Linked DNA regions of Oryctolagus cuniculus. The main gene of each other region encodes a partner of the protein of the gene in region 2 in a complex. Links are inferred from orthologs where the notes say so. Each region holds a gene or a part of one and is shown on either strand. Other genes may lie near its edges. The genes, in order: OOEP, TLE6 and KHDC3L.

Region 1 (5,358 bases), on a different chromosome or scaffold from region 2:
TACGGGATGCTGGCATTGCAGGTGGTGGCTTTACCTGCTATGCCACAGTGCCAGCCCAGGAAAGGATTTTTTTTTAAAGGATTTATTTTATTTATTTGAAAGGCAGTGTTAACAGAGAGACAAGGAGAGAGGGAGAGGGAGGGAGAGAGAGGGAGAGAGGGAGAGAGAGTGAGAGGGAGGGAGAGAGAGAGGGAGGGAGAGAGGGAGAGAGAGAGGGAGGGAGGGAGGAAGTGAGGGAGAGAGGAAGAAAGAGAGGGAGAGGGGGAGAAAGAGAGGGAGAGGGGGAGAAAGAGAGGGAGAGGAGGAGAGAGAGAGAGAGAGAGAGAGAGAGAGAGAGGGAGAGGGAGAGAGGGAGATATCTTCCCTTTGCGGTTCACTTCCCATATAGCTGCAACAGCCCAGGGTTGGGCCAGGCAGGAGCCAGGAGACAGCAGCTTCATCCTGGTCTCCCATGTGGATGCAGGGGCCCAAAGACTTGGGTCATCTTCTGATGCTTTCCCAGGCACATTAGCAGGGAGCTGAATCAGAAGCAGAGCAGCTGGGACTTGAACCCCTAGCCTAGGAAAGGATTTCTTAAGCGTGATAAGGGAAGTACTTTATACTATAAAGACTTCTGTCCATCAAAAGACACCATAAGAAAATGAAAAGACAAGTTAAATGGTAAGGAGAGATTCATAATATACACAGTTGAAAAAGGAGTAGTAAAGACTGCAGGAAAATGCTTGTATATGAAACAGGAACCTTCACATATTTATATCATCAACACTTTTTTTAAAAACAATATGCAGGCATTACATTGATTTTTAAAAATTATACAGAAGTAAATACCACTAAAATTAGATTATCTCCACTCAATATTTTTATTGTTTTTAAGAATACATAATATTATTTATTTGAAAGGCAGAGTTAGAGAGAAAGAGAGAGGGAGATAGAGAGAGAATGTTTTCAACTGCTGATTTACTTCCCAAAAGACAGCAACAGCTGGGGCTAGGCCAGGACAAAGCCAGGAGCCCATAACTTCCTTCAGTTCTCCCACGTGGGTAGCAAGGGCCTGAGCACTTGGGCCATCTTCCAGAGCTTTCCCAGGCTACATTAGCAGGGAGCTGGATGGGAGGTGGAGCAGCCAGGCTTTAACAGGCGTCCATACAGAATGCTGGCATTGCAGGTGGAGGCTTAACCTACTATGCCACAATGCCTGCCCGATATTATCTATAGATGACAACTGCAGCCTAGAGCCCTCTGGATGAGGGATTCAGCGCATTAATAATAGTACCTTTTCTTATATAAGTGATAGAACATTTCCATATAAAAGATTAAAAAAAAACACAGCTAATTATAAGAGTTTTTATAGCAGATGTGATGAGTATCTATTCTAAAACTGCTGAACAATTCTAGAAATGTAATAGAAAATGTGTAAGAACTGGGCTTACGTTGTGTCCCAGCAGGTTAAGCCACTAGCTTAGCCACCAGCATCCCATATGAGTGCTGATTCAAGTCCTGGCTGCTCCACTTTCCATCCAGCTCCCTGCTAATGCACTTTGAGATAGAAGGGAAGATGACCTAATTGCATCCATGTGGGAGACCTGGATGGAGCTCCTGACACCTGGCTTCTGGTTGACCCAACCCCACCTGTTGTGGCCATTTGGGGCGTGAACCAGTGGATGATCTTTCTGTCTCTATAATTCTGCTTTTCAAATAAATAAATAAATCTTAAACAGAAACAAAAACAAACAAACAAAACCACGACACTGAATGATTTTTGAAATGGCAACCATCCAGAGTCCTACGATAACAAGGAGCACACAAGAAAACCTTAAATTCGAGCTTGCCCAGGGCCTGACCTGTCTTTGGAAGGTAACTACGCAAATCTTAACGCAGGCTCTTAAGGTGAGTCCCAGTCAACAAGGTTAACAATCCAAACTGTTAATCAGGTATGAGTTAGGGCTGGGACCTTTTTTTTGACAGGCAGAGTGGAGAGAGAGAGAGAGAGAGAGAGAGAGAGAGAGAGAGAGAGAAAGAGAGAGAAAGGTCTTCCTTTGCCGTTGGTTCACCCTCCAATGGCTGCCGCGGCCGCCGCGCTGTGGCCGGCGCACCACGCTGATCCGAAGGCAGGAGCCAGGTGCCTCTCCTGGTCTCCCATGGGGTGCAGGGCCCAAGAACTTGGGTCATCCTCCACTGCACACCCGGGCCACAGCAGAGAGCTGGCCTGGAAGAGGAGCAACCGGGACAGAATCCGGAGCCCCAACTGGGACTAGAACCCGGTGTGCCGCAAGGCGGAGGATTAGCCTAGTGAGCTGCGGCGCCGGCCTAGACTGTGAAACCTTAAACTGCAGAGATGATGACCAAGCGAGCGTGCCTGAGACCCAAATGGATCTCAAACCAATACTAATTTCAGGTGGAAGAAGTCTGGGGCCAGAGTGCCTTGCGCAGACTCACTCCGAACTGGGCGGGCGTGCTGCTGCCGGGTGGGCGGGGCTGACCTGGGCCATAAAAGAGCCCGCGTGGCCTGCCGGGTCTGGAGCAAGGTTCCGGTGGTTGGTGCGAACGGTTTCAGCTGCTGCTCTCAACATGGACACGGACGTTGGAGCTGCTGAGGCCCGGCAGCACCCATTGAAGCTGACCCGCCCAGAGGACCTACTTAGGTTTCCACATCCACTGCCGCCCCCGCGCATTCACATCCGGCCGTGGTGGTTTCCGGTGCAGGAACTGGAAGACCCCGCGGTGTTCTACCTGGAGGCATGGGTGGCGGACTTGATCTTTGGTGAGCTGCTAGTGCGACTCCAGTCTGAGAGGCTCGAGCCACTCCCGGGCCTCTTTCCGGGGTGCTCTGGCTCTGTGGGTGGCTCATCCCTTCCCGGGCCATCTTTACCTTCACATCTAGCTCCTTCTGATCTGACCATGACTCCACTTGCTCTCCCCTTACTTGTTTAGGCCCAGACCGCGCCATGATTCCGGAAATGGAGTGGATGAGCCAGGCCCTGTTGAGGGTGGACCCAGTGGACTCCGGGAATTTAGTGGAAATCACGGTCCACGCACGGCCCCGTGTGCAGAACCGGGTGAAGAGCATTCTCCTGAGCCTGGCGTCATGGCACCGAGAACGTCGTGTGGCGCGAGGTGAGGCTGTTGGAGAAGCTGCAGGCGGAGGAAGCCTCTGGCTTTGCTCAGCTCCCTTCCAGCCTCCTGTAGCTATCAGTACTTACTGCCATTCCCAAACCCCAGAAGCTGCCCGCAGACCCAGGGGGTCCTTTTGGGGGGGGGGGTGCACGTAGGACCTAGGGAAGGTAAGCAAAGATCTGATGCATTCAAGCTTCTTATTGCCCAAGTCAGCCTTCGCTAGGCTGCTTCCCTGTTGCCAGACGGCACGTTCAGAGCCTTCACCTCTCCCCACTTTGCCAGATGCACCGCCCTCGTCTCCTGTATGCACGGAGCACGTGGGAACAGCCGACATTTTCCCTTGCCTGTGGTTGATATCCATTGCTTCTCTTCCAGCGGAGAAGATGAAGCACCTTGAGGAGTTCCTGAAGACTCGTTCATCGGGGCCGGACGCTCCCCTGCATCTCGATACTTAGAGCACAGGACTACGGCCAGGAGCAGAGCATTAGAACAGCCTTGCTTTTTCTAAACTTGGAGAGAAGCAGGTGACCCTAATCCCTACATTCCTTTTTCCTGTGACTTGACAGTACTTCTGATGTGAATGTGCATTTGTAGAGATATTCGAATAAATGGACTTTTTTTGTCCAATGACATAAACTTTTGCTTACTTAAATCTATAAAAGGTTGAGTGTTTATCTGACATGAGGGGTGGGTAGAAGGCTGGCAGGAGGTGGGTTTTTTTCCCCTCTTATTTTGAAACTTAGGGTTTTTTTTTTTTTTTTTTTTTGAGATAGGTCATCAATTTGAGAGCTCGTTAAAATAGTTCCCTAGGCTCTTCCTATTCTAAAAATTTGGAAGGCAGAGTGATAGGAAAAGGCAGAGATGGATCTTTTTTTCCTTTTTAAAGATTTATTTATTTGAAAGTCAAGAGTTAGGAGGCAGAGAGGTCTTCCATCTGCTGGATCACTTCCCAGATGGCTGCTACGGCCGGAGCTGCGCTGATCTGAAGCCAGCAGCCAGGAGCTTCTTCCGGGTTTCCCACGTGGGTGCTGGGGCCCAAGGACTTCGGCCATCTTCCCCTGCTTTCCCAGGCCATAGAGAGCTGGATCGGAAGTGGAGCAGCTGGATCTCAAACAGGCGTCCATATGGGAATGCGGGCGCTTCAGGCCAGGGTGTTAACCTGCTGCACTACAGCACCAGCCTCTAGAGATGGATTTTATATTCACTGGCTAACTTCCCAAATGGCTGAGGTTAAGCCAGAAACCTGCCTGGAAGAAACTCTAGGCTCCTGGCTTCAGATTGGCCCTTTAGAGAATGGATCAGTGGATGGAAGATCTCTGTGCCTCTTTGTCTCTGTAACTCTGCCTTTCAAATCTTAAAAATGGAGTTAGCACTCCAGTATGGATTGCCGGTGTCAGACAACAGCTTAACCAGTTGCACAACAACGCTGGCCCCCTTTGTCCAGTGATGCTGACTCAAGATGTGGTTAAGGTCTGTTAACTTCTACTTTTAAGACGGACTTGAAAGTTAGAGGGAGAGACAGAGTCCATCTGCTGGTTCACTCCCCAGATGGCTGAGCCATGCAGGAGCCAGGAGCCCCTTCTGGGTTTCCCTTGTGGGTGGCAGGGATCCAAATGCTTGGGCCATTCTCCAATGCTTTTTCCCAGGTCATTAGCAGGGAGCTGGATGGGAAGTGGAACAGCCAGGACTAGAACTGGCGTCCATCTGGGATGACTGTACTGCAGGCGGAGGATTAACCTGCACCACAGCACTGACCCCTAATTTGTATTTCTAACAAACTTGTGTGTAAGACCAAAGCAACTCTGAGGTTCTCACTTCAACCCTGGTAGTCTGCCCCTCAGATCACCAGGTGTGCCTTTTTCTGAGTGGTGCCTCCTGCATTGCATGTGAGTTGCTCTCCCCCACACAGGCCTAGCCTAGACTACCAGCATTTATGATGGCACTAAGTTTCACCACTGAAAAGCCAGGGTGGCGGGCCCCTTGGCCGACCAGAGGGTGCCCTGCATTGGAGCTGGCTGTTTCCTTGCTCTTGTTGCACAGGTATTCCTTGGGGGCTGAGTAGTTTTCCTTACCCATTCAGTGATGACCAATCTGCAAAAGAGCTCCTACCCTCACCAGCACAGCTTTGAAGAGCCAGAATTTTTTTTTGACAGGCAGAGTGGACAGAGAAAAGGTCTTCCTTTTGCCGTTGGTTCAACCTCCAATGGCCGCCGCGGCCGGCGTACCGCGCTGATCCGATGGCAG
Region 2 (6,453 bases):
GCCGGCAGAGATGGGTTCCCCGGCTGAGCCCGCCCTCTCCAATTCACCCCGGCTCGTTAATGCGCAATTTACTGGCACTTTAATGCGCTCAGCCTGAAGAGCTGGCTCCCTCCTGTCCCTCCCAGCCCTCCCTGGGGAGCCCCGCGAGTGTGCACGGAGGGGGGGGCTGCTCGGGATTTTAAAAGCCTTGCAAAGGAGGCTGGGAAAACCGGGAGCAGCCGGCAGAGGGGTGGGGGAGGGGTCTGTCCAGGACCAGAGGCTGCCTGCCGGCGGGGGGCCTCACTCCTCCCCTTGGATACAGCTGCCAGGTCCCGCCCCCAAGTGCATCCACCATGGACCCATCGCTCACTGCAAAGCAGCCGGCCTCCCACGGGGCGGGCCTCCCACGGGGCGGGCCTCCCACGGGGCGGGCCTCCCACGGGGCGGGCCTCCCACGGGGCGGGCCTCCCCTCACCCCGAGGGCGGGAGGCTCCCGCGGTCCTGGCTGGGCCCCTGGCACCCACAACCGCACTTGGCCAGCAGGGAGTGGCTAAGGAGCTGGTGAATGAGTCACCACGTTCTGGTAGCTTCCTGGCCCCCCTCGGCCCGGCCCCCCGGCCCTGCTAACTCGCAGACAGGGCCCTGGCTCGCTGCCACTCACAGCTGGCACGGCCAGAAGTCCCGCCCGCACCAGGAGAAAGGGGCCAGGTGGCGGCGGGGGAGGGGCAGGGACGCAGGACGCGCTGTGGCTCGGGTGGGCGCCTGCCCCCTCCCTTGCCCACCCCCCCCCCCAGCTCCCAGGCCTGGCACGAAGCCTGACCCCCGAGAGATTCCCCCCTGGGAGAGACTGGAGACGCAGCCCCCAGATGTGGGGGAGCCACCGATCTCAGGCGGGGAGGCTTCCTAGCGTCCCTATGCCCGCAGCCCTCCCAGCCGGCCCACGCACCTGCTCCTGGTGTTCCCGGATGTCCTGTCGAACCTTGTGGAACTGCAGAAGGAAGGCCAGGGTCACGGGCAGGGGTCTGGGGGAGGGGGCGGGGCCAGGGCGCTTCCTCTCCAGCCGGCTCTCTCCCGCAGGGTCCCACCCTGTCCACTGGGCGTGGGTGCCCTCGACCCCCTGCAGCGGGAGGTCAAGAGGTCCCGTGCTCCCTCCCGGCGCTGGGCACCACAGCAGGCCCCGCCCTGCCCTGGACCCTCGCCCTTGGGTCCGTCCCCTTTCTCAGGACAACGGGCGCTGTAACCGTCTTCAGCCTCCTGCTGGCTCGTTCTCGTGCCCGGTCCGGCCAGGCAGCCGCGGGCCACGCTCGGTATTTAAGGGAAGCCACGTTAAAGCCTTGGGTCCGGGGCCTGGGTACCACCGCCACCCACAGCGCCGGCCGGCATCGCACGGGCATGGGCACAAGTCCCGGCTGCTCCACTTCCCATCCAGCTCCCTGCTGTGGCCTGGGGAAGCAGCGGGAGACGGCCCAGTGCTGGGCCCTGCACCTGCGCGGGAGACCCGGATGGAGCTCCTGGCCCCTGGCTCCGGCTTGGTCCAGCCCCGGCCGTGCGGCCCTCTGGGGAGTGACGGAGATCCGCGACGGAAAGCCCATTCTGTCCTTTAGTCCTGTCAGGTGCATTTTCAAAGACTCGACAGTCAGTGGTGAACACTGGGAATACAGAACATTCTGGAACGTTCTAGAAGGCAGGGCCTGCCCCGCTCATGTTCAGTCATCTGCCGCGTCCCTCATCACCCAACCGACCGTAACCACGCAGTTCCAGCTCGCGTGGCGAGATCCGCCCGCAGCCTGGGTGCCACAGGAACGGCCACGATAGACAGCCGGACGCGGCCGCCACGCCTGCGGCCGGCGTTTCCTTGCGTCCTGACGGAGCGCGCGCTCGCTCGCCCCGGGCGTGGGGGGCTCCGCAGCCGCCCCCGGACCCGTGCAGAGCACCCACATGGCAGGGGCAGGCCAGGTGCTGGGCTCACCAAGTACGAGACGTTCTCCAGCTGTGCGGTCACCTCCAAGGGGAGCCTGCGGGAGGGGAGGGGCAAGGCAGTGAGGTGGGAGGGGCACAGGCAGTGAGGCGGGAGGGGCCCCGCCCCGCCCCGAGGGGTGGAGCCTGCGGGAGGGGAGGGGCAAGGCAGTGAGGCGGGAGGGGCCCCGCCCCGAGGGGTGGAGCCTGCGGGAGGGGAGGGGCAAGGCAGTGAGGTGGGAGGGGGCACAGGCAGTGAGGCGGGAGGGGCCCCCGCCCCGAGGGGTGGAGCCTGCGGGAGGGGAGGGGCACAGGCAGTGAGGCGGGAGGCGGCCCTCCCCCACCCCGCCCCGAGGGGTGGAGCCCCGAACGCCAACACCCGCGCCTGGGTTCCAGTCCCGGCTGCCAGCGGTGATGGGTCCCTGCGCCCACACGGGAGACCCCACGAAGCTCCTGGCTTCCGCCTGGCCCAGACCCCGCCCCCAGCCCGCTGCTGCGGGCACTTGGGGAGCGAACCAGCGAACGGCTTTCAAGTAATTCAGAACCCAAAACACTTAGCAAGGCTGCAGTGTCTGAGATGCAGAGCCCGCACCCCCTGTGGGCGCGGGTTCGAGTCCCGGCGGCTCCACTTCTGACCCAGCTCCCTGCTAGGGCGCCTGGGGAGGCCGCGGAGGGCTGGGCGCCGGCAGCTGCGTGCGAGGCCGGGACGGAGCTCCTGGCTCCGGGTGGACCCAGCCCCAGCCAGTTGCGGCCATCTGGGGAGTGAACCAGCGGATGAAGGCCCTCTCTCTGCCCTTCAAAAACACAAATCTTCAAAAAATGTTTTAAAGTGGCCGGCGCCGCGGCTCACTAGGCTAATCCTCCGCCTAGCGGCGCCGGCACACCGGGTTCTAGTCCCGGTCGGGGCGCCGGATTCTGTCCCGGTTGCCCCTCTTCCAGGCCAGCCCTCTGCTGTGGCCAGGGAGTGCAGTGGAGGATGGCCCAGGTGCTTGGGCCCTGCACCCCATGGGAGACCAGGAAAAGCACCTGGCTCCTGGCTCCTGCCATCGGATCAGCGCGGTGCGCCGGCCGCAGCGCGCCGGCCGCGGCGGCCATTGGAGGGTGAACCAACGGCAAAGGAAGACCTTTCTCTCTGTCTCTCTCTCTCACTGTCCACTCTGCCTGTCAAAAAAAAAAAAAATAAATAAAAAAAATAAATAAAAAAAAAAAATGTTTTAAAGTGATGCAAAGCTGAGATCTGAAGGCAGGATTTTCAGAGACGCGAATGCAAAGTCGCCCGGGGCAGGGGCCCCCAGCTCGCTCACCCCCAGAGGGCCCCTCCCGCAGCTGCCCTCACCTGGGGGCCCGCTCGCGGAGGTCTTGCAGGGTGACGCGGCCGTCCAGGACCGGCAGCGCCTCGGAGGCAGAAGTCCCAGGGGGAGGCTGCACGGGGGGGGGGGGGGGGGCAAGGGAGAGAGACGGACAGGTGCGCACACAGGCCCCGCCCACCGGGCCCTCCTCCGCCACGGAGGCCGCGGGGATCGGACCAGGCCTGCTGGGGCGGGGCGAGAGCTAGAGCCACAGCCCTGCTCGGTGTCTTGCTCTCCCTGGGGCGGGGGCATTGGTCGCCTGCTGTGCCCAGTGGGGTGGGGGGTCTCAGACCCGATCCTCTTGACACCTGACGGTGAGGAACCTTCGTGTCCTGGAGCTGGGAGGGGGCTTTCCCTTCAAACCACCCACCAGGTGCTGCGGGGCCCCCGTCTCCAGGTGAGGCGGCCACCCGCTTCATTGCCCGCAGCTGCAGGGGCTGGCCGTGCCGCCGCACAGGTGGGCGTAAGACCAGACGGGGGCCGGGCAGCAGCGCTGGGTGGGAGCCTGGACCCTCACCCCGCCGCGCTGCGCCCTCCTTACCGGGGTGCGCTCCAGGGACGAGGGGGTGCGCCTGGGGCTGGGCGAGCCCGGGGAAGTCATTTCGAGACGGCAGCTTCCAGAACCCTAGGTCGGAGAGCTGAGGCTCGGAGAGGGACCGCCGCCCCAGCCCCCCGCCCCGCCCGGAGCCCCCTACCCGTGGGGGCTCACTCTCCAGGTGGGAGTGGGGATGGCGCCCACAGCAGGTGTCAACGCGGAGCCTCACTTCGCGACGGTTACTGGAAGCGGGGGGTGATTCCAAGGGGGTTTTGCAGAGTGAGCAGGAGTTCCCAGGGTGCGGATGGGGGTGCGGGAGCCGGCCCGACCGCGGACGCCTTTCCCGCCGCCCGCCCCGGCGCGGGAGCCCGGCTGCAGCCCACTCCCCCTCCCGGGAACCGGGGCAGCCGACGACGTACCTCCCGCAGAGCGAGAAGCCCAGGGGTCAGCCGGGTCCAGACCCCCAGCGAGCGCCTCCCCCCGCCCCCGGCCCCTTTGACCCGTCGGGCCCCGCCCCCGCCCAGGCTCCGCCCCCGCCGCGGACCCCAGTCCGCTCCCGACCAGAGCCAGCGTCGCACGTGGGCTCGGGCTCTGCGGGGCGGCCGCCTAGCGGCGCGGACCAATCGCGAGGCCGCCTGCCCACGTGCGCCACGGCCGCCGCCGCTGATTGGCCGTCTCTCCCCGGCCCTCCGGCCCGGCTGTCACTCAGAGGTACCCGGAGCCTGCGCTTAACCGTTGCAAGCCCGCGACGGCGAAGAGCAACTAGCAGAGCGGAGAGCTGGGGCGGGACTCGGGGGTCGGGGCGGGGCCTGAGAGAGGGGCTATATATAGTGCCTGGTGGCCAGCAGCCCCGCCCCCTTTCCTAGCTGCCCACTCCCTGCAGGGGCAGAGTAAAGGCCGGGTGGCTCCCGAGCTGGGCGCCCTGCAGGTGCAGAGCCGGGCCTGGGGCGCGTCCGAGATTGGGGTGGGGATGGGAGTCGTTCCTGGGACAGGGGACGCCTGTATGCGCGTGTGGGCCGCGCCCCGCTCAGAGGCGCCCTTCCCGCGGCCTGTGCCTGGGACACAGGCACAAGGCCTCTCCCCAGCCCTCCCGCCCCCAGAGACGCCCCCGTCCTGGGACACCAGCCCGCACCCCGCAGCCCCTGGGACCCAGGCGCCTCTGCTTTGTCCCTGGGGAGCGTGGCGTGTGGGGGCCGCGGTGCAGGCCTCGGAGCGCCCCCCCCCCCCGCCCCCAGGTTCTGATAGGAGCTCTAACAGCCCGGGGTTGTGGCCGGGTGGTCGGGTGGTCGGAGGGCGGTTTTCCGCAGTGGGCCGCGGCCGCTGGCGTCCTTCGCGGGCCTGGCTGCCCCTTCTCTCGCCGGCTCATCTGGACCTTGTTGGCTCCCGCCCGCACATGTGGCTGTTTAATTAAAATTAATTCAAATTAAATAAAATTTAAAGTCCTGTTCCTTAGGCGCACCGAGTGCGTGCCCGATGTGCAGCCGCCACCTGTGTCTGTGGGGATCTAGAACCTTCCGCGGGGTACCCGGATGCCGGCGCGAGGCGGGGGTGTAGGTGGGGCCTGGAGGTGGCGGCCGCCCCTCGTGGTGGGCGGGGTTGGGGCTGCTGCTTCCGGTTGATGTGAGAACCAGGGACCTGGCTGAAGGTTGGAGAGAGAAGGCGCCTACATCCCGAAAGTTCAGCGGGGAAAGCCCTGGCCTGCAGTCCCCCCCGCATCCGATACGGGCGCCGGTTCGAGTCCCGGCTGCTCCACTTCCAATCCAGCTCCCTGCTGTGGCCTGGGAGAGCAGGGGACGATGGGCCGAGTGCTCGGGCCCCTGCACCTGCATGGGAGACCCGGATGGAGCTCCTGGCTCCCGGCTCCGGACCAGCGCTGGGGAGTGACCCAGCGGATGGAGGACCTCTCTCTCTCTCTCTTTCAACTAAATAAATAATATTAAAAAAATACTTAAAAAAAAAAAAAGCTCAAACTCAAGGACAATAAAGGCCAGTGCGGTCCCTGGGTGGGGAGGGGTCCGGGGTCCCGGGGACCCTCAAGTGACTTCGTTGGGCTTCTTGGACACAGGGAGGTGGTGAGGCGACGGTTCCCAGCCACGCGCCCTCCCCACGTTCCCGGCGAGACCCTCAGGCCTGGGGCAGGCGCGAGAATCGGGGCGCCCGGCGGGGCACCGGCGAGGGGCCGGCAGGACGGGGCAGCGGGGTCCTCTCTCGGGGTCCTGGGGCAGAGCAGGGCGGCCGAGGCCCTGCGCGCAGCCCCCTCCCCCCAGGCCCCCTTCCCCGGGGGGCGTCTGTGCCCGGTGTCTTCAAGGCCCCCTGGCCGGCTACTGGGTCTAGGGGCTGCGGAATCCACGGTGACGTCATCCCAGCCAAGCAAAGCACACCCGGGTCCCTGGGGGCGGGGGCAGTGGCGGGGGCGTCTCAACACAGCTTCTTACAACATTGGATTACTTGAGAGGCAGAGAGAGAGAGAGAGAGAGAGATGTCTTCCATCCGCTGGGTCACTCCCTGGATGGCCACAGCCGGGCTGGGGGCTCCATCCGGGTCTCCCACGTGGGGGGCGGGGCCCCAGCTCTTGAGCCGTCAGTCACCCGTCACCCAGCCTCCCGGATGCGCATGCGCAGCGAGCCAGCTCAG
Region 3 (5,842 bases), on a different chromosome or scaffold from region 2:
CCAATTCTCCATCTTTAAAAAAAATTAAAACATTTACTGATTGATTCCCCAAATCACTGAAATAACCTGGGCCAGGCCAAGAACCAAAGCCAGGAGTTTGCTTCCCACAAGGGTAGCAGGAACCTGATTGAGCCACACTGCTGCCTCCCTGGATCAGTACTGTATAGAATCTTACCTAGGCACTCAATATGTGAGATGTATACTGCTTTTTTAAAAGATTTATTTGCTTGAAAGAATTAGGTAGAAACAGATCTTTCCACTGGTTTACTCCCCAGACAGCTGCGATGGCTGGAGCTGAGCTGATTCGAAGGCTGGGTTGGAAGTAGAGCAGCCAGGACCCGAACCGGTGCCCATATGGGATGCTGGCGCTGGCCCTGAGATGTAGTTTTCCTAACCCCTAAAGGCCTACACCTCCCTCCCATTTTTTAATGATTAAAAAATCCCATTTGAGAGAAGGTGGTGGGGGTAAGCAGGCACGAACCAAACCCAGAGACTGATATGGGGGTGTCCTTAAGCAGCAGCTTAACTGCTAGACCAAAGACCATCCTCTTAACTGGCAAAATACACCGATTCATGTAAGTATATCGTGAGCTCTAATGTTCGAACAAAACCAGGAACTTTGGAAGCCATATGTATATACATTTTCCCTCAACCAGCTTATGCATTTTAACTGCTTCATCTGGAAAAATCATCTAGGAGCCAGCATTGTAGTATGGTGGGTTAAGCCTCTGCCTGTGACACCAGCATCCTTTATGGGCGCTGGTTCCAGACCTGGCTGCTCTACATCAGATCCAGCTCCCTGCTAATGGCTGGAGAAGGCAGCAGAGGATGGCCCAAGTGCTTGGACCCCCGCCATCCACTTGGGAGATCCAGAGGAACCTCCAGGCTCCTGGCTTCAGCCTGGCACAGCTCTAGTGGATACAGCCATGTGGGGAATGAACATCCAGATGCAAGATCTCCATCTCTCCCTCTAATGCTGGTTTTCAAATATCTAAAAATAAACCTTTGAAAAGGTGATCTTGACTACCAATTGAACACTTGCCATCTCAGATGTTAGGATATTGTATAAAGCAACATAGTTTAAGGGGTAGATACTGGAAAAGCATGTACATACACACATACGTGGACAAAAGATACCTGCTGCCAGCCCATAAATTCAACTTTTTTTCTTCTTGGTTCTCTCCAGCCTCCACCCAGGAATGTTTAATGAGGTGTCCTACCACCTTGTTCTTTCATCGAAGTCCTCTCCCATCCGTGTGTGTGTGTGCACACAGGGTAATTTTGGGCTTATATATCAATAGGCAGACCCCTAAATGCTCTGTTGGCCTGCTACCTTCTGCTCACCAACCTCTCTGGTGCAACAGAGAATCTGATGTTTTGGTCAAAGGGGTACTACTCTCAGAACAGCAGGCACACAGGGAGTGTTCCTTCTGCTGGAGTGCAGCCTCACTTGAAGCTGATGATTCGTTTTGATATTCATTTTGAGCTTAAAGTTCACCCCTCTTTAGGCTTTTCGCTTTGCCTCCCCTGACCTTTAAAATTAAGCTGCTTTGAATTTTTAAATAAACTTTGAAAAAAAAATTTCTAACACTAGTATTATGCAGATAATGTTCAATCCTAGCACACAGCTGTTAGTGTTCATCCTACTTCATACGCAGGCAGTGGGATCAGAGGTGAAAGGGTAGCCGAGCCCAGCATCCTCTCCCAACCGAGGTGGGAATGGCCGGTGTTAGCTCCGCTATACGCCCAGGAGGCCCTTCCAATCTAGGAGGGCTGCAAGCCGTCTCCAGGTTTTCCCATCTTAAATTACTATGAGAAAAGACACAGTGGGCTTGCAGTTTCCCAAGAGGGCTGGCTCAGGGAGCCCGAGAGCCCTCGCCCCAGGGGACACTTGACCGCAACCCGGGAGGACCCGCCCCAGAGCGGCAGACACCCAACGCGCCTCACCTGCCCCGGAGGGGAAGGCCGTGTAAAGCAGATCTTGGCTGCTAGAAGAACAAGCCTGGTAACCTTCCGACTAAGGCACGCCAGGGGAATGCAACTCGTTTTATTAGAACTCCTTAAACTTAAACTCGCAATTAACACAGAGGGGGAAAACAAAACACCCGCAGCGTTCTGCCCCAGCTTCTAGGGCAGCAGTAGGACCTAGAAGAGTAGAATTACTGAGGGATCTGCACTTGAAGCCCTTGCTGGTTCTCGCTCTTGGCTCTTCATAGCCTGGTAACCGGGTCCTCGGCAGCCTCTCGAGGCCGTTGCGTCCCAGGCTCGCGCTCCTTGACTGGAGACCGCTGCGTCCCGGCCTCGCGCACTTCGATTGGAGACCGCTGCGTGCCGGCCTCCTGCACCTGGACCTTCTCTGAGCCTGGAAGTAGAGCGGTGTGAGGAGACTGCGCCCTTGTCACCCACACCCTCCTCCTCCCAAAGGCAAGTCATCCTGCGGACAGAGGCTGGGGGCCGGAACCCCAGGACGCGGGGCCAGTTTGGCCTTCTCGATCCCTGGTAGAGACGAAACCCTTCGGGGCAAGGGGAAAAGCGAGCCTGCTGCCCTGGCAGCCAGGAGACACCAGGATCCCTCCCTTGGAGCCAGAAATCGCTTGGGGGTCGCCCTGCCTTCTCCCGGGCCCATACTTTGCACCCGGAGCTGGCGGTGATAGTCGGCCAAGTTCATGATCAGCTTGGATACATCCTTCTGAAAATAAGGTCGCCCACATATCAAGATCTCAGCTTCGCCGTCAGGGTCCCATCGGTTCACATGAAGCAGGGTGTGGGAGACACACTCGACGTGCGGGATGTGCTCCCCGCCGGGGCCTGCGCGGGGAACAGGGAGGCAGTGAGCAGAGGGGTGTCTCCTAGGATCCTGGGCGAAAGGAGGGCTTGGAGCTGGGGCGTGGCCAGGCCTTGAGGGATGCGGGGCGGGTGGGCAAACGAGGCCTCACGGGCCGCCTCTAACCCGTGCACTCACCGAAGATCGCTTCCACCAGCCAAGCCTCCAGGTGAACTGCCTTCGGACTCTTGAGGAACTCGGAGTGGAACCAGTTGGGCAGCTTGGTGAGGTTCCCGAGCACCTGGCACAGCTCCCCTTCTCGCTGCTGCAGCTGCACGAGCGTCTGAAAGCGCTTGGGGGTGGCCATGCTGCAGGAGCCTCGCGGGGGGCCACCGCGCAGCAAGAAGCCCGGGGCGGCGATGGAGGTAGGCGTACACGGAGGCGGCGAGCGCAGGGGCCCGGCTGGGGCAGTATTTCAAGGGCTTTTGGCCAGCCCCTTCCGCTGGCGCGTTTCTCATTGGACCCCCGGCCTCCGCTCCGGACTTCTTTTCAAGGCGGCGCAAGTGCGGCGGTTTCTGAGTTCCTGCCGCGCTGCTTGGGGGTGGGCTCACCGCCCACTGCGCGCGGGTCGCGAGGGACCAGGGACCAAAGAAGGGACCAACAGCTGGACAATACCGCTTAGAAAGAAAAGAATTGATACCTGCGGCATGATACTTTACTTTCAGGGCTAAAGTAAATTCCCCACCCTGGCCAATGAGCTCCACCCCCCCACCCCCACCCCCTCGCCGTATCCCAGTTTTCTGAGCTCCGGCAAGGGCAAGTATCTTACTTAATGCATCATTAATGCCATGCACACAACCGACAACAGAGAGGGGTCCTTGAAACTTTTTTTTTTTTGCCTCCATTTTCCAAGTGATACGACGCTATTTCTTTTCTTTGATGTTTCGGCTTAAAGCGTTGTTGAGTAATTGCTCCTCTTTGGCTGGAGCCGCTGTCGATCCGAAATCTCGAGCTGTGACTTTGCCACTGCCAGCTTGGGTCAGGAGGGAAAGGGCGACTGGGCCCCTGTGACCTGCTGTAGTCACCGCGGGTGGGCACTGTGGGCCAGGGGATCAGGCTCCGAGGGGGCGGAGGCGGGGGTGGGGAGGAGAGCGGAGCTAAGGTTCACGGATTCTGGCCGATATCAGCTGAAAGATGCTTTCAGCTGGGCGTTATAATTAAATATTGAAACACATAATCTTCATTCATGGGGGACAATTTATTCTCAGAAAAAATTCAGAAGAAAAATACAGCGTGCCAACGGTGCTGGTATCCCACAGGGGCGCCGGGTCCTGTCCCAGCGGCTCCTTTTCCGATCCGGCTCTCTGCTATGGCCTGGGAAAGCAGTGGAAGATGGCCCAAGTACTTGAGCCCCTGCACCTGTGTGGGAGACCCGGAAGAAGCTCCTGGCTCCAGGTCGGCTGGGCATCGCAGCCATTTGGGGAGTGTACCAGCAGATGGAAAATTCTCTCTGTAACTCTGCCTAATGAAATAAATCACAAACTTAAAAAGCCCTCAGGTATTTTCCTTTTTAAGTTTCCACTCAGACCTCTCTATAGAGCAATCTCAGAACACGGTGTACATTAGTTATTCCTCACTTCTGCCCCCTTTTGCCCTACTTAAAACACGCTACATTTGTAAATCTAATAGTCTCTTTTTACTCTCCTAAGGCTTTAAATTCCACAAAGAAGATTTTGTTCACTTTGGTTTCCCTGCTGTCTCCCTAGAATAGAGTAGGTATTGGAAGTACCATGAGGGTGGGAATTCTCTTCTGTTTATCTGTGTGGCCACAGTGCCTAGAACAACATTTGCACATTGCAGGCATTTGCTGGGCCCTTGTGGACTGATGTGTATCATAACACGCGTATGATGTATATCATTCCTTAGAAGTGGGACCTGTGTGAGAGAAGAGGACATCTAATCATTGACACTTTGTTAAATGCCGAATGTGTTGATATTAATCATATAAATTAAATATTCATTTAAAATTTGATACTTGGGGGCTAGCGCTGTGGTGTAGGGGGTAAAGCAACCACCTGCAGTGCCGGCATCCCATTTGGGTGCCGGTTCTAGTCCTGGCTGCTCCACTGGTTCTAGTCCTGGCTGCTCCACTTCCAATCCAGCTCTCTGCTATGGCCTGGGAAAGCAGTAGAAGATGGCCCAAGTCGTTGGGCCCCTGCACCTGCGTGAGAGACCTGGAAGAAACTCCTGGCTCCTGACTTTGGATCAGCTCAGCCACTTGGGAAGTGAACCAGCTGATGGAAGATCTCTCTCTCTCTTTCTCTCACTCTCTGACTTTGCCTCTCTATAACTCTGCCTTTCAAGTAAATAAATAAATCTTCCAGGCTCCTGGCTTCCGCCTGGCCACGCCCTGGCTGTTGTGGGTGGCCATTTGGGGAGTGGACCAAAATATGGAAGATTCTCTCTCTCTCTCTCTCTCTGTCTCTCTCTCGGAGACATCTTGTGGGGGCCCCGGGGTCCAAGCGCTTTGGACCATCTTCTGCTTTTCTAGGCACATTAGCCGGGAACTGGATCCCAAGTGGAGTTGGCATCACAAGTGGTGCTTTATCCCTAGGCCACAACACTGGCCCTTAAATAAATCTTTTTTTAAAGGATTTTTTTATTTATTTTATTATATATATATATATTTGACAGTCAGAGTGGACAGTGAGAGAGAGAGAAAGGTTGTCCTTTGCCGTTGGTTCACCCTCCAATGGCCGCCGCGGCCGGCGTATCGTGCTGATCCGAAGCCAGGAGCCAGGTGCTTTTCTTGGTCTCCCATGCGGGTGCAGGGCCCAAGGACTTGGGCCATCCTCCACTGCACTCCCTGGCCACAGCAGAGAGCTGGCCTGGAAGAGGGGCAACCAGGACAGAATCCAGTGCCCCGACCGGGACTAGAACCTGGTATGCCGGCGCCGCAAGGCGGAGGATTAGCCTAGTGAGCCATGGCGCCGGCCCCTAAATAAATCTTGAAACAAGGAAAATGCCAGTGGGGAGTGGGCTGGAAGTGGAGCACGGTAAGATCTCTAGGATATGTTA

The links.
Region 1: the proteins of TLE6 (region 2) and OOEP are in contact, whole or in part, in a cryo-EM structure (PDB 8H94), measured with the Mus musculus proteins. The link is inferred for Oryctolagus cuniculus from reciprocal best matches to the Homo sapiens genes TLE6 and OOEP. Residues at the interface, in NP_444484.1 of Mus musculus: Trp256, Ser258, Phe304, Thr305, Arg306, His307, Val318, Asn320, Val322, Asn323, Glu332, Ser333, Asn354, Ser355, Arg356, Leu373, Ala374, Ala375, Pro376, Ser377, Leu378; in NP_080756.1 of Mus musculus: Arg32, Pro33, Trp34, Trp35, Pro37, Gln39, Glu40, Glu67, Trp70, Met71, Gln73, Gln94, Pro95.
Region 3: TLE6 (region 2) and KHDC3L share a complex: the UniProt entries of both Homo sapiens proteins name them as parts of the subcortical maternal complex. The link is inferred for Oryctolagus cuniculus from reciprocal best matches to the Homo sapiens genes TLE6 and KHDC3L.

Annotation. Positions count from the first base shown.
Region 1 is NC_091436.1:99,171,108-99,176,465, forward strand, and holds OOEP (oocyte-expressed protein homolog), read left to right. Parts: upstream 1-2,492; 5' UTR 2,493-2,568; coding exon 2,569-2,761; intron 2,762-2,931; coding exon 2,932-3,114; intron 3,115-3,489; coding exon 3,490-3,569; 3' UTR 3,570-3,747; downstream 3,748-5,358. UniProt on the Homo sapiens protein: Component of the subcortical maternal complex (SCMC), a multiprotein complex that plays a key role in early embryonic development.
Region 2 is NC_091447.1:59,668,571-59,675,023, forward strand, and holds the start of TLE6 (transducin-like enhancer protein 6), read right to left. Parts: upstream 4,291-6,453; 5' UTR 3,994-4,290; intron 3,910-3,993; 5' UTR 3,886-3,909; coding exon 3,826-3,885; intron 3,358-3,825; coding exon 3,272-3,357; intron 1,995-3,271; coding exon 1,949-1,994; intron 968-1,948; coding exon 926-967; intron 1-925. UniProt on the Homo sapiens protein: Component of the subcortical maternal complex (SCMC), a multiprotein complex that plays a key role in early embryonic development.
Region 3 is NC_091436.1:99,180,440-99,186,281, forward strand, and holds KHDC3L (KH domain-containing protein 3), read right to left. Parts: upstream 3,317-5,842; 5' UTR 3,132-3,316; coding exon 2,963-3,131; intron 2,809-2,962; coding exon 2,629-2,808; intron 2,363-2,628; coding exon 2,211-2,362; 3' UTR 2,034-2,210; downstream 1-2,033. UniProt on the Homo sapiens protein: Component of the subcortical maternal complex (SCMC), a multiprotein complex that plays a key role in early embryonic development.